Arabidopsis thaliana: one gene and its partner. The protein of the gene in region 1 interacts with the protein of each later gene in a pairwise test. Each region holds a gene or a part of one and is shown on either strand. Other genes may lie near its edges.

Region 1 (10,285 bases):
GTAAAAAGAGGAAGAGTAAGAAACTTGGTGCAGAAATATCGGGTTCAAAAGATTGTCATCTCGCAAAAGCAGTTCAAAATTACATTGGACAGTGGACACTTAACAAGTATGTAATTCACAGCAATGAATTAAGATGACTTCATCATCTGGCTAACTAGATTCTCTCAGCAGAAGAAAGTGATATGAATATTTGATGGCTATGAAACTAAACAAGGCTGATTAAAGTGTATTCCTGGAATATTGTTTTTTTTTAAGTACATAGCTATAATCAGTCCTAACCTGTGAAGTAAGAGATATCACAAAGTCGTCCGGCTCTTCAGCATCCTCATCCTCCAAATATTCCCTATTCGTCATTTCCTTTTTAACACCATAGTATTTTCGTAAGTTTTACAGGCCAGAGATAGAATTCTCATAGTCATGCCACTTTCCTCACAAAGGGAAGATCCATCACATACCTGAAGATGAAAGACTGTTTCCAATTGCATCTCAACACGAAGAACCTTTAGGCAATCAGTCGCAAGTTTTCTGTACTCATCTGCAAATGATGCCAGATTCCTAGGAGAAGCTGCTTGATTTCTGCTATTACCTTCAGCTTGACTCGCCACACGAGGAACTGCTTGTCCAAGCCTAAAGATTTTGGAAATCAAAACTTCAGAAAGAATTTTCATTTGCTTGCTGTTAGGGAAGGAAGAACTGGCTATCTTTCTCGACATGATGAAGGAGCACAACAGAAAGGGTAAAAACAACATTCATGGAAGACCCCTTAAGTTATGCAAGCTTTTGTTTTACACTTGATGAAAAAGTTTTGTGAGTTTTTTTAAGTTTGAGCTGGAAAAGACAGTGATCAGTCTAATTTAGTCTCTTAGCTATCCTATTTTTACTATGCATGTCCTTTTTCTCTTTTATAACATCATGGAACTTCGCAATTTTCTGTGTCCTTAAAACATCTAAGATGTAATAAGAGATGAGGAACGAGCAAATGCATAAAGAATCTGAACCAATGAATCACCTCTCAATAGAGTCTGCCACGTATTCAAGCGAGTCACTGAGAGAAGCTAACAAAATCAGTTTGTTGTCATCACGAATTAGATTATCCTGTAAGAAAACAACTTAATTATCTTCACCGAATGAAAAATTCTTACTAGAATAAGTATCAGAGAACACATATTTTTACCTGCTTGATAGGTCGCAAACTCAAGAATAGGTCACTGAGTTCTACTTCAGTGCCAACAGCCTCAGAGTGAGAAACGGCATGGCCAAGCGTAGATGGTAAACAAGCACTCGCCGCATCAAGCCGCATCAATTTCTCAATATCATGCCTCCCAATGAGCATGTAACTGAGCTTCTCTAGAACAGCCTGAAATACTAACAATGAAACCTAAGGTCAGAAAAGTGTGTACGAAGGAAGAAATACAACGCTTTACATTTAGGGAAACTAAAGAGGTATTAAATGGGTAAGAAAATGCAGATTTTTTATCAAAGATGCGAAAAGGTGCATTTAAGACTGGCTCCATATTCTTCCACATCACTCTTTGAATCAATACTCTCTGAGGATTATTGCTTCTAAGCATTTAATGCCAAGTTCACATAGCCCAAACTGAACTCTAGCTGGTAATCCACAGTCATATCATCTAATTCATTTACCTCCAGTTGAATTTTTAACATCACATTACGCTGACAAAACTACTTTTAGTATAAACTTTTGTGCTATAGGCGCAAACCCCTAAACCAGATGCCCAACATATATAGATTAGAAGAGTCAAAAGGAAGAGGAAAACAAATAAGAAAAGAGGAATATCCATGCCTCCATGTATGATGTTCGACATCTCTCAAATGTCCTCTCAAGAAATGTCTGAACATACTTCACAAGATCAGTAGCAAATTTAGGCATGGCTTGAGCCCAGCCAAGAACCTATAAAATTTGAAGAGCAAGTAGTTTCATCAAAACACAAATATCTTGAAACTTGAGAAAACAAAAATGGATTAAATGATGAACTGGAAGTAACCACTCAACTAATCCATTCTTTTAGGAAGATGAAAATTATGAAAAATAAAAACTTTTATCTTGCAGTTTTAAAGCATAGACGACTTGCCTCTTTTGCAAGGAGATCTATTGCTAGAAGACCTTGTAAGATAGGTCGTCCCTTTTCTACGGTTGCGGTGTAAGTAGTTGTATGTGCACGCGGCCGAAATGCAGCAGCGCCTGCAAAATGATTTCAGAACCATGGGTTTCTAACCTTGAATTTATACAGAATTACACACCGACATTACTGGTACTTTGTTTTAAATAAATTAGTGAAATGTAAATATTCCTATAAAATATTTCATGCCAAGAATCTTAAAGATATCTGCAATAATTCTCAAAGATGCTTTAACTTTTCATAAAACTGCCATACCCTATATTGGCAGACCAATTCAATTAGTTTTGAGAGCAAATGCTTCTATTACGACTTTGTGATGGCAAAACTCCAAGTCTTTGGGGCCAAACTAACAGCCCACTTTTCAAGATGCAATTCTATGTTATACATTTAGAGAATAATTACCCTAAAATAGCAAAAAACTCTATGATCAAATCTCTATAGTATATGGGGTTTACTTGATATAGCTTGCTGTACGCCTTTCCTATAGTCCACAAACATTGTCGGTAACAGATGGTCCTTCACAAAGTTTTCAGTGAATGTAAGCAATCCATCATTCCTGCATCAATTATTAATAACCCGATGGTGAATATACTAGCAATTTCTCAGCACTTGAGAAAACAATAATTTCATTTTGGGCTTGTGAGCAAGTAGTTTTGCTTTGCCAGGATGACAGCCTTCAAAGAAAAGTGGAAATTTTGAACTTACACAAGCTGGGAATGCTTTTTGGGCAACATTGAAGTGATTTTATCTGTAAACTGCAAGACACATAAGATCATAAGTCTACAAAAAAAACTGATGACATTGAATGAAGATGCTTAGATGAACCAGAATCTAAACCTGAAGAACAGGCCGGTAAATAGATGCAGCTAGATATATTCCTTGTTCAGGCAAAACAGCTGCAGATCCATAACCTTCCAGTGATGCATTTGGAGCCCTCTTTCCCCAGCCTTGACGAATGAGATCGGCTCCTGCAATCAGCAGATAACGTCATCAAGTCCACCAAAGGCATTCTAACTAAAGAAAAGTCGGGATGATTGATTATTACCCTGATTAGATATTGATACAGTTGCATCTGTAAACCGAAAGGTGAATGTTAGGCCATCCTCAGGTGCATCCCTGCAGCCCAACATTATCAATCAAGTATCAATACTACTAATGCATATCTTACAAAATAGCCTTGCAAAGCACTATGATGCTGAAAGAGAATGCGACATGTTTGTATGTTAAACAACAGTTGAACTATTTCCAATATTGACATTTAAAAGGATAGTAAATAACCCAGACAGGCTAAAGATCCAGCAACCAAAAAGTTCAAATCTGTGTTATACTCCTCAGGGCTCCACTTTACTAGCGCGCTGAGAAGAACCTAAATGACAAATTTTTAGACTTAGGTATCGTAAAAACCTTCTTATTTTACTGTCGGAAGATATCTCAACCCTAACATCCTCTCTATATAATCGAATGACTACACCAGGTGATTCACACCAGGCCTTCAGAACCAAATCTTAAACGTCTAATTCTTGGGACATCTTTCATTGTTTATGTACCTACATGATAATGAGAAAATCACCAGGGTAAATGTATGAACTACCAATGTGTGTGGGTCACTTGCCTTTTGTCTTTCTTCGGAGCCTTCTTTGCAAGCTTAGCAGTTTGTGCAGCAGCATCTGCTGAAGCAGCTTCTGGAGTTGCTCGTAGAATCTCACATATGAGTTGTTGGCATTCACTCTTCATCAATTAACACATAGAATTTCAATAAGCGTAAGTATGAGAATCCAAACATTTAGCTTCACGACAAATTAGATATTTGGAGTATAATAGCAAACCTGTAAGACTGTCAAGGGAAAACTGATAGTGTAGCCTCCAGTAGCTTGGGATGCTTCAGACTCGGTGTTCCAATTCACATCAGTAGGCAATGACCTTGGTGTGTTAATGTCATGTTGTGAAGCCTTCATCTCCAAAAGCTCTCCAATAACAACATGATTTTCTATAGAAGCAACAGTAACAAAATTTTTGAGCGTTGACTATTGAAAATGAAATATTGAGATGAGTTTAAGAGTTGAATTTCTCACCAAATATCTTGACAATAGTATCTAAAATTGAGTCAAGAAGTTCCTTCGCTGCAGCCTGCGCTTTGCCTCCAGGAGCCATAAGAGGCGAAACAGGGCTCACAGCTAGGTGAGTTCCTGAATTTGATATCCCATTTTGAGGTTTCTCTTTTGATAACCGGTAGGCCTCTGACTGTCCTTTGATTAAATGCAATCCAGCAGCTACACTTCGATCACCCTGACTACACGCGGACTTTGACAAATTTGTAGTCTCCAGATGGGCTTTAATCTTGGATATTATGATTTCATGAATTGTGGGTCGAAGTTTTTGGCTGCAAGCGAACACAAAATCATAACTAAGAAAAGTTCACAATTTCTAAGCCGGAATGTGCTAATTTCCATCAAGTGGAAAACTACTGTGCTGCATCGGTTATCCATTTATCTTTAAATTCAAGAATGATAAAGGTTCAGTCCCAAAAATTACACATATACATTTAGTATCTAGTGATGACATGGGTGACAAGTTAACTAAAGAAATGAGGCCATCTGCTAGCGATCTAACACTAACAGATATTAAAGGAGTTATTAATCTATAACTATATCCAGCTGTGAAACAGAAACAGTAGCATTTATAAAACCATTTAAAAAAATGAAAATAATTAGAAAGCCAACCATATGATAGCACCAGCAGCTGCAACTTTGCCAAGCATGCAGAGACACTGAACAAGGGTCTGTAGATACTTCACATGCAGTGGATCATCACTCTTTCTTACTGCTTCCTGAAACAGGAGAAAACACATATCATGACACTAATGAAATATGGGGAGAAATATGTTATAAGGCTGAATCACAGACACATACAATAAACTCATCAGGAGTGGAATCAGAAAGCCATGGAGGAAGTTGGTGAGAAAGCAATTTACTATCAGTGCCATTCCTGGCAGTATCTGCGGTGGATTCATCATGTTCTACGGAGTCTTCTTCATCATGTCCATCAAATGATGAACTACGAAACACAATGTGATAAAAGATACAAACATTAGCAAAGTCAAGGAATAGCAAAACATGTAAAGTATATTTCGTAAAACTAGAACAAAGGTTGTGTGGCTAGACAAAGCAACTTCTGCAATAATCAGTTTACAGTATAGTTTCTTTTATCAACAAATATTCTAATGAAAGAATTTACAAGGAGAATCTCCACATAATGATTAGGAAATGATGCAAGTATATTAATCTCAGTATTAATAATAGAGCAAGTGAAAGCCTCTATGGAGAACTACAACTAAACAGACAGTTACTAAACATTGATCACTCAGAATAAAGTTAACAATATACACGAAAAAATGTTCCTAATATCTCATGAAGAATACACTGAAGGGAAAGGATGCTATATCATACCTTTCATCATTAGAAGCGGTTCTATATGAACCATTTGTGAGCCCTCTAACACCAAACTGACTATCACCTTTCAGTGTCCGTGTTCTACGTGACAGTGGTTGTGAGCTCATTCGACTAGCTGCAACAGCTGTTGTCGTTGGTACTTCATCATCTCTTTCATATATGCTTGACGCAACTGAACTGCAGCATAAACATGGTCAAGAACAGAAGATTGTGCACTGAAAGAAGTGATGAGGCAAACAATCAAACAAGCAGGCCACTAGATCCGAGGATAAAAAGCAGCACAGCTTCTGAAATTTGCTTATAGAATTGCAAAAGAAACCTACCTGTATTCACCTCTATTGTATAGGTGTGCATGCAAATCATCTAGAATTTTGAAGAAAAGGGCTCCCCGCAACTTAGTTAGCTCAGATCTGACATCTTGAAGAGCACCAACCTAGGTTAACGTACCAAAATATCTATGAGTTCAACATACAAGTGAACAGTAGATCCCTTGGACAGAGATATTTCTAAAGTCCCAACAGAACTTCGATGATCCCAGATCCTCTTCAATGGATTTATTACAAAACAATCCTAGAGATCAAATTGATAAATGAATGGGAAGACCCACAATATTCCCATGACAATGCATTTGTTAAAATTGGCAGTAAGTAAATTACCGTTTGAAGCCCCTCACGCTCCAGCATTAGAGACGACTGGAGATACACTTGAATAGCAGCGTAAAACTGCTTATCAGCAATGAGCTTCTCAATACGAGATGGAACCTGTTCAAGGTTTCAAGAGGCAGGGTCACCATTTTCACATCAGAAAAGCAGTTTCTTTTAAGTAAGCCAAAATGAAAAAAAAGTAAGTACATATATCGGGAGCATATCAACAAAAGTAACATCAGAGATACAGAGATGATGAATGAAGTATGAAACTTGATAGCAGCGCAGATACATAGCAAGCACTGTAAACTCAAAATAAACAAAGAAATGTTACAGCTAATCCAACCAACCTTGGCAATGCCCTCGATTTGATCCAAAAGTGAGATGATGTGCCGCAATGTAACAGAACGGTACCACAACTGATGTAATTGTTTATTGCGTGCACCCAAGCTCTGTTTCGCTTCTGCTAAATCGTGCTTCAAGTCGCCTATCTTTTCAGTGGACTCACTGAATAATCGCAAGATCTGATGAGGAATACATTGAAAGCAGAGCAAAAGAAGAGAGATAATCAAAACCAAGGTGTTCCACAAATGAAATTTTAGTAGATAAATTACAACAGAGGGTACTATTCCAAAAAGAAAATTCTACATGCAGAAACCATAGAAGCAGCCATAGTTAGTATCAATATTAGATTTGTTGTATCTTTGGCAAATGAAGCGTGCAATATGGAAGTCAATAAGCGGTAACAGAGGATGCTACTTTAGAATAACAGAACGAACTATCCAATAAAAAGGAAGAGCTAACAGATATTAGAAACCTGTGAATAGTTTTGAATGGCCTTGTTGAAACCACCATGATAAGCATGGACAACTTCATCAACAACCTCCTCGACAACATCACTTTGTTCCTTTAATATATGAATGTCAGCTTCACGGTCTTTTGATGTCAAAATATGAACAACATGTGGTAAAGAGTCAAATCGTGCAGCAGCCCAGCTCTCATCTATTCTTGCCAGCTCCTCCCTAAGGTACTGCAATAACCATCAACACTCAGGCACATATACACACACATGTACTCCAAAACCAAATACATAACCAAATCAAGAGTGGTGGTAATTCAGTCAATTTCTTGTCTAGCCATCGTACAACTTCTTACAATTAACTCCAACCCCGAAATGAAGAGATATAAGAAAAAGAACCGTTATACTTAAATGTCCCTATAAATCCCCAAGGGGATGAAAGAACACCATAGAACAACACAATTCCTCATAAGCCCAAACTTCAGGTTTTCCAACTCAAGTAGGAGTCTACGAGTGAGGAAAGTGAACTTACAGTTTTATCCGAGGGTACAGGCAAACCATTGAAAATCCCCATGCTGGCGAACTCACTCCGATTGGCTTATTAGAGCCGAAATGAATGTTCCTCAGCACATTCCAATCAAAGCTCTCTGTAGCTGAAAGCAAAAGTCCAAAACCCCAAGACGAGTTAAACACATACACGAGCTAGAGACCGCGATATTACGCAGTTCAGTACACACAAAGAAGCTAGTGGACCCAACGGCGAACATAGAATTCAAGTCAGGAGAACAAAATGTGAACAATTCAATCATTACTCCTTCAGCGAAAGATCTGAGAATCATAATTCGAATTACATGAAAAATTCAACTGATGACGAGACTATCGGCGTATACAAAAATTAATCAAACACTACGTCTGGAAGTAGATCTAGAGAGAAAAGAATATCGAGAAACAAATTCGATTTCAGCTGCGAATCTTACCTGGGATACGAATCCACGCTAGAATCTGATCAACACGTTCCCGATCACGAAGAGAAAAGCTAAATCTCGAGAAAATGGAGAAGACGAAGAAGAAAAGGTAAAAATCTATACGATACGCGTTTGTTTTATTCTCCTTCCAATTTCTTCTTCTAATTTTCCAGACTTTTCTTCTCTCTCTATTTTTTTTTCTTTTTCTGTTTTACTTTTTCCTTGTTTTCTGTTTTTTCCCAAATAATAATTTAAAAATCGTGGGAAACTAAATCATCAAAAAGCTCTTCAATTAAATAAAGATAAAGTTAATCCAGTAACCAAACAATCCTTTTCTTCTTCCTCTTCTCATCGATCACTCTCCTGCAGTTTCTACGGCGACGGAAACGATGAATCCACCGGATAATTATGTTCCGTCTGTTTCTCACTCTCAATTCTCTACTCCTCCTCCTCCACAGTCGAGCTCAAACACCAATACCGAAACAAGTTTGAATCCATTTCCGAATTCGATCTCTACCTCAATCTCTAACCCTAGTTTTGAGCAGATGGTCTCATTCTCCGCACCAAAGAAACGAAGGAGAGGACGTTCTCAGCGCTCAATGTCTTCGCTTAATTCCCTTCCCGTCCCTAACGTAGGTCTTCTTCCTGGTAACAGTAATTTCGTGTCATCTTCAGCTTCTTCTTCCGGTAGATTTAACGTAGAGGTCGTCAATGGATCAAACCAGACTGTGAAAAGTTATCCTGGGATTGGTGATGAGATCATTACGATTAACAAGGAAGCTACCACTGAAGCTTTGCTTGCTCTCACTGCTGGGTTTCCTGCTGATTCGCTTACCGAGGAAGAGATTGAATTCGGTGTGGTGCCTATTGTTGGAGGCATTGAACAAGTCAATTACATTTTGATTAGGAACCACATTATATCCAAATGGCGAGAAAATATATCTAGTTGGGTCACAAAGGAGATGTTTCTTAATTCGATTCCTAAACATTGTAGTAGTCTCTTAGATTCGGCTTATAATTACTTGGTTACACATGGATATATCAATTTTGGAATAGCACAGGCGATTAAAGATAAGTTTCCTGCTCAGTCAAGCAAGTCTAGTGTGATTATAGTTGGTGCTGGTTTATCTGGGTTGGCTGCAGCTAGGCAACTGATGAGGTTTGGCTTCAAAGTCACGGTTTTGGAGGGTAGGAAACGACCCGGTGGACGGGTTTATACCAAAAAGATGGAAGCTAATAGGGTAGGTGCTGCAGCGGATTTAGGTGGGAGTGTTTTGACTGGAACATTAGGAAATCCTTTAGGGATTATAGCGAGACAGCTTGGTTCTTCTCTCTATAAGGTACGAGACAAGTGTCCTCTTTATAGGGTGGATGGTAAGCCGGTTGATCCAGATGTGGATATAAAGGTTGAGGTAGCGTTTAACCAGCTTCTAGACAAGGCAAGTAAACTTAGGCAGTTGATGGGTGATGTTTCCATGGATGTCTCCCTTGGGGCAGCACTCGAGACATTCAGGCAGGTTTCTGGGAATGATGTGGCCACCGAGGAGATGGGTTTGTTTAACTGGCATCTTGCTAACTTGGAGTATGCAAATGCGGGCCTAGTATCAAAGCTTTCTCTTGCATTCTGGGATCAAGATGACCCATATGATATGGGTGGAGATCACTGCTTTCTGCCTGGAGGAAATGGAAGGCTGGTTCAGGCTTTGGCTGAAAATGTACCAATATTATATGAGAAGACCGTCCAAACAATCAGATATGGTTCAAATGGTGTCAAGGTAACTGCTGGAAATCAAGTGTATGAGGGTGATATGGTGCTGTGTACAGTTCCCCTTGGTGTCCTTAAGAACGGATCCATCAAATTTGTTCCCGAATTACCTCAGAGAAAGCTTGATTGTATAAAGAGATTAGGTTTTGGGTTACTGAATAAAGTTGCAATGCTCTTTCCGTATGTATTTTGGAGCACAGATCTCGATACCTTTGGGCATCTTACTGAGGATCCGAACTATCGAGGTGAATTCTTTCTGTTCTATAGCTACGCACCGGTTGCTGGTGGTGCTCTCTTGATCGCGTTGGTTGCGGGAGAAGCTGCTCATAAGTTTGAGACAATGCCACCCACTGACGCAGTGACTCGTGTTCTTCATATTCTTAGGGGTAATAGATTTCACTATCTATTGATTGTCATTTAATTGAATTTCAATTTTTACCTGTCAATATCAATCTTCAAGAATTATTAGTTGAGGATTTGTATTCCAGATTTGTTAAAGTTGATGCTAGCGTCTGACGCAAG
Region 2 (3,600 bases), on another chromosome or scaffold:
TAATCAGCAGATTGGGATTGGCGGGAAAAGAAACGATTGGCATAGAAGAAGGAAGCCGAAGCATCTCTTTCAAAATCTACAGAGTTATCTTCTTTTTCTTTTCTTCTTCGCCAATGGTTGTTGGTGAGATTTTGAATATCATGCAGTGGATTCTTCTAAGAAATGGCAAATAATATGGTTCTCTACTGTTTTATCTCTTTTTTGCCGGTCACATTCTTTATACTTTCTCTCTCTCTCGACATTTGCTGGGATTTTCTGTGTCACACAAATGGCACCAATCTTTTTGTACGTTTTTTAAGTATTTATATGTCATATAAATGTACTTTATTTAGCTACTAATCATATTTTTTGGTTAGTGACTAAAACTGTATCATTCCAAACTATTCATAATAATTACGTTTAAAACTTAAGAAAAACATATGAAAAAGTTTGTAGATTGTCTGTTTATTTATCTGTCCTTGGATGCTTCCTTTGAAGAAAAAGAAATTTAGTGTATATATAAAAGAGATAAAGAATATATCACATCCACATATTTGGTAATTGATATATAACTCTGTAGATCTTATTCCTTTTAGATACCAATGACTCTTCTTTTTATGTAAACCATCAAAATCTGAAACAAGCTGAATAATGAAATACACATATCTTAAAATATATTTTTACTAGTAGTAGTAATTAGTAAATATCATAATATCAGTTTGTGGAGTATTTTAGAAAGAATTCGAACATAATATATTTTCGATTTTTTCCTAAATGTAAACTTTCGAATTTTCTCTAGTATGTTCTTAATGAAAAAATGTAAACTTACCAAATGTTGCTGATATATTTACAAAAATGTAAAGTTAGTGTCGACGATACATGTATATAAATATAATCAGTACACGAAAAAAAAGGTTAAGAAAGATTAGAGATTGGTGGTGTGGTGAACAAGAAGATGGACATGTATCATTTGACAGAATACATCGGCGTGGTATCGGGCGTCCTTATGGTAGCTCTTGCTTCGTGCTTGTATGGCCATTACCTACGTCGCATGGTATGTCCATGTTGTGAACCTAGACTACCTAGTGACTCTAATGCCTAACTATTATCATTTTGCTACTGATTATATTTATATAAATGTATTGTCGAAAATTGTGCGTCCGTTTATCCTCTACGCTAAACGGACTCTAGATGAATAATTATTTGTTTCAAAATATTGTAACTCTATTCTATTGATATTTATGAGATTTTACAAATTTCTTTTCAAATAGTTTGTACTTGGAAGCTGTCATTTTCTTAGGCTTTGTTTTTCTTTTTCGTCGAGTTCAATATTCCATCCATCTCATCGATTTATTTCTTATATATTACATGTACTACGTTATGTGCAAAACTTTGATGATATCACAACTAATATATCACATCCAAGTTTTGCAAAGCATGTCGTCAAATTATAAACTTATCAAAACATATGCAACCCCATTAATATCAAACGTATGTAACATCGCTAGATAACCAATCAGACCCCTACGACTAATATTTTCGAATTCGATACGTTATGGTAAGATTTAAAATCGATGATATTTTAGTGACATTTCAAATGATTAAACATATAACAAAAAATAAAAAATAACACGAACCCGAGCATGGGGTTAAGATTTGCGTTTTGCTCAACGAATTAGCGTTAGCGTTTGCAAAAAAAAAAAAAAAAAAAATAGGTTTGCATCAACAGCTGGCAAAAAAGAAAAAGAAAAATCAAAACCGGCGAGACGGAAAATTTCAGCGTTTCCGAACTTTCCATTAGAGTCGCGAGACGATAGATGAGACTCGTTCCAGAAATTTAATCGTTGCTTCTCTTCCCAGCTGATCTGCGTCCAACATCACTGTTTCCAGGATCTTCAGAATCAGCGAAGGAAGAAGATAAGAGGACGACGAAGTAATTGAAGTTGGAGAATCGCACATTTGGCTCTCGATATTTGCTCAATGACTTCTTATTCGGTTGCGTCCATTTTTCCTCTACGTTTCTGTTTCCAGATCTCTTGATTCTCCTCTGCGTTATCGTAATTGTGCTGGAATTTTGAATAACTTTGCAGAGGTAGCCTTCAATTTAGGATCGGAGTTCGTAAATAAGGTGATTTAGCGAAGATGATGGTCGAAGATCTTGGTGTGGAAGCGAAGGAAGCGGCTGTGCGAGAAGTGGCGAAGCTCTTACCCTTACCTGAACTTTTGCAGTCTATTTCTTCAATCAAGGCCGATTACATCGCTCGTCAACAGGTTTGACATCTTGCTTTTGAATTGCAATTGGAACTGAATTGGCTTTTGAAGTATCATTTGCACTGAGTATTAGTGATTCCTGAGCAATGCTAGATTTGAGTTGTTAGGTTTTGATATGCTATTGTTATCTTTTATTTTCGATTTTCTGGAAATTTTTAATGACCTGACTAGTGATGCTTGCTGTTTCAATCAGGCAAATGATGCACAGCTCAGTACTATGGTTGCTGAGCAGGTACAGCTTTAATCTGGCCTTCTTTGTACTTTAATGTATTTCGACTTTTTTGTTGTTCTTAAGTAATAGCTGTTGACAAACTTCAGGTTGAACAAGCTCAAGCTGGGTTAGAGTCACTTTCATCATCTGAGAAAACCATTTATGAACTGCGGGATAATTTCATTTCTATCGACAAGTATGTTTTTGCTTGACTAGAGATTCTTGAAGCTGAGTTACCAACTTTTGCATTTCTCTCCCTCTAACTTCTCTTCTTGTGCCACAGGCTTTGTCAGGAATGTCAAACTTTGATTGACAATCATGACCAAATAAAGCTGCTGAGTAACGCCAGGAATAATCTAAACAAAACTCTAAAGGTAGATATGCCGATGAGCACTGATTGTATTGCTTACAGTATTTGGTTCAGTGTTGTCCTTCTAACTTATTCTTGAACGCAAATATATATAGCTCTGCATGGTCGTCTCAGATGTTTAAATGCTTTCCAAGTTTTTGTCAACTTATTTTTACCTCATTCTCTTTTTTCAAGGATGTAGAAGGTATGATGTCAATTTCTGTTGAAGCTGCTGCGGCTAGGGATTCTTTGAGTGATGATAAAGAAATCGTTAACACTTATGAGGTAGCATGAGTTCCTCTTCCCATGGATTCCAGGCATTTCTGACTGCATCACTTTGAAAAAAAGAACGTTTGGTGTAAGACATAATATTCTGTTTTTCTTCCATAGAGATTAACAGCACTTGATGGTAAACGAAGATTTGCATTAGCAGCTGCTGGAGAGGAGGTTGGGAGGCTGAGGTTTGTATATATTCCACTCGTTTCCTTTCTTTGCTTTTTGTACTTACATGAAGTGAGCCCGAAAGCTTTAATTCAAGAGTTACTGGTGTGCTATGAAAGAAAATAGGTCTCTATGCTAAAGTAATGAGCAGTAGGTAGAGCTGTTACTCTTTTGGTAGTGCATATGATGATTTGATCCCGCCTCTGGACTGTCTTTTCTTTTTACATGAGCATGCATACCAACTTCTAAAGAGTTGTTTTGATGGGTTCAGGGAGTATTTTGAAGATGTTGATAGAACATGGGAAACATTCGAGAAGACACTATGGGGTCATGTTTCCAACTATTACAA

The links.
Region 2: the proteins of SEC8 (region 1) and SEC6 interact in a two-hybrid assay, tested with the Arabidopsis thaliana proteins (one study listed by BioGRID).

What each region holds. Positions count from the first base shown.
Region 1 is NC_003074.8:3,220,750-3,231,034, forward strand, and holds the start of SEC8 (subunit of exocyst complex 8), read right to left. Parts: upstream 8,286-10,285; 5' UTR 8,011-8,285; intron 7,687-8,010; 5' UTR 7,608-7,686; coding exon 7,566-7,607; intron 7,265-7,565; coding exon 7,052-7,264; intron 6,759-7,051; coding exon 6,585-6,758; intron 6,352-6,584; coding exon 6,247-6,351; intron 6,024-6,246; coding exon 5,914-6,023; intron 5,768-5,913; coding exon 5,588-5,767; intron 5,196-5,587; coding exon 5,051-5,195; intron 4,969-5,050; coding exon 4,862-4,968; intron 4,522-4,861; coding exon 4,214-4,521; intron 4,129-4,213; coding exon 3,968-4,128; intron 3,870-3,967; coding exon 3,754-3,869; intron 3,258-3,753; coding exon 3,187-3,257; intron 3,110-3,186; coding exon 2,979-3,109; intron 2,897-2,978; coding exon 2,847-2,896; intron 2,698-2,846; coding exon 2,597-2,697; intron 2,204-2,596; coding exon 2,094-2,203; intron 1,913-2,093; coding exon 1,805-1,912; intron 1,358-1,804; coding exon 1,175-1,357; intron 1,096-1,174; and 6 more. Other genes in the region: FLD (protein FLOWERING locus D-like protein), read left to right, coding at 8,388-10,149. UniProt on the Arabidopsis thaliana protein: Component of the exocyst complex involved in the docking of exocytic vesicles with fusion sites on the plasma membrane during regulated or polarized secretion. Involved in polarized cell growth and organ morphogenesis.
Region 2 is NC_003070.9:27,007,901-27,011,500, forward strand, and holds the start of SEC6 (SEC6), read left to right. Parts: upstream 1-1,663; 5' UTR 1,664-1,974; intron 1,975-2,069; 5' UTR 2,070-2,121; coding exon 2,122-2,250; intron 2,251-2,443; coding exon 2,444-2,482; intron 2,483-2,568; coding exon 2,569-2,657; intron 2,658-2,744; coding exon 2,745-2,835; intron 2,836-3,005; coding exon 3,006-3,095; intron 3,096-3,200; coding exon 3,201-3,271; intron 3,272-3,522; coding exon 3,523-3,600. Other genes in the region: AT1G71810 (Protein kinase superfamily protein), read right to left, coding at 1-64. UniProt on the Arabidopsis thaliana protein: Component of the exocyst complex involved in the docking of exocytic vesicles with fusion sites on the plasma membrane during regulated or polarized secretion. Involved in polarized cell growth and organ morphogenesis.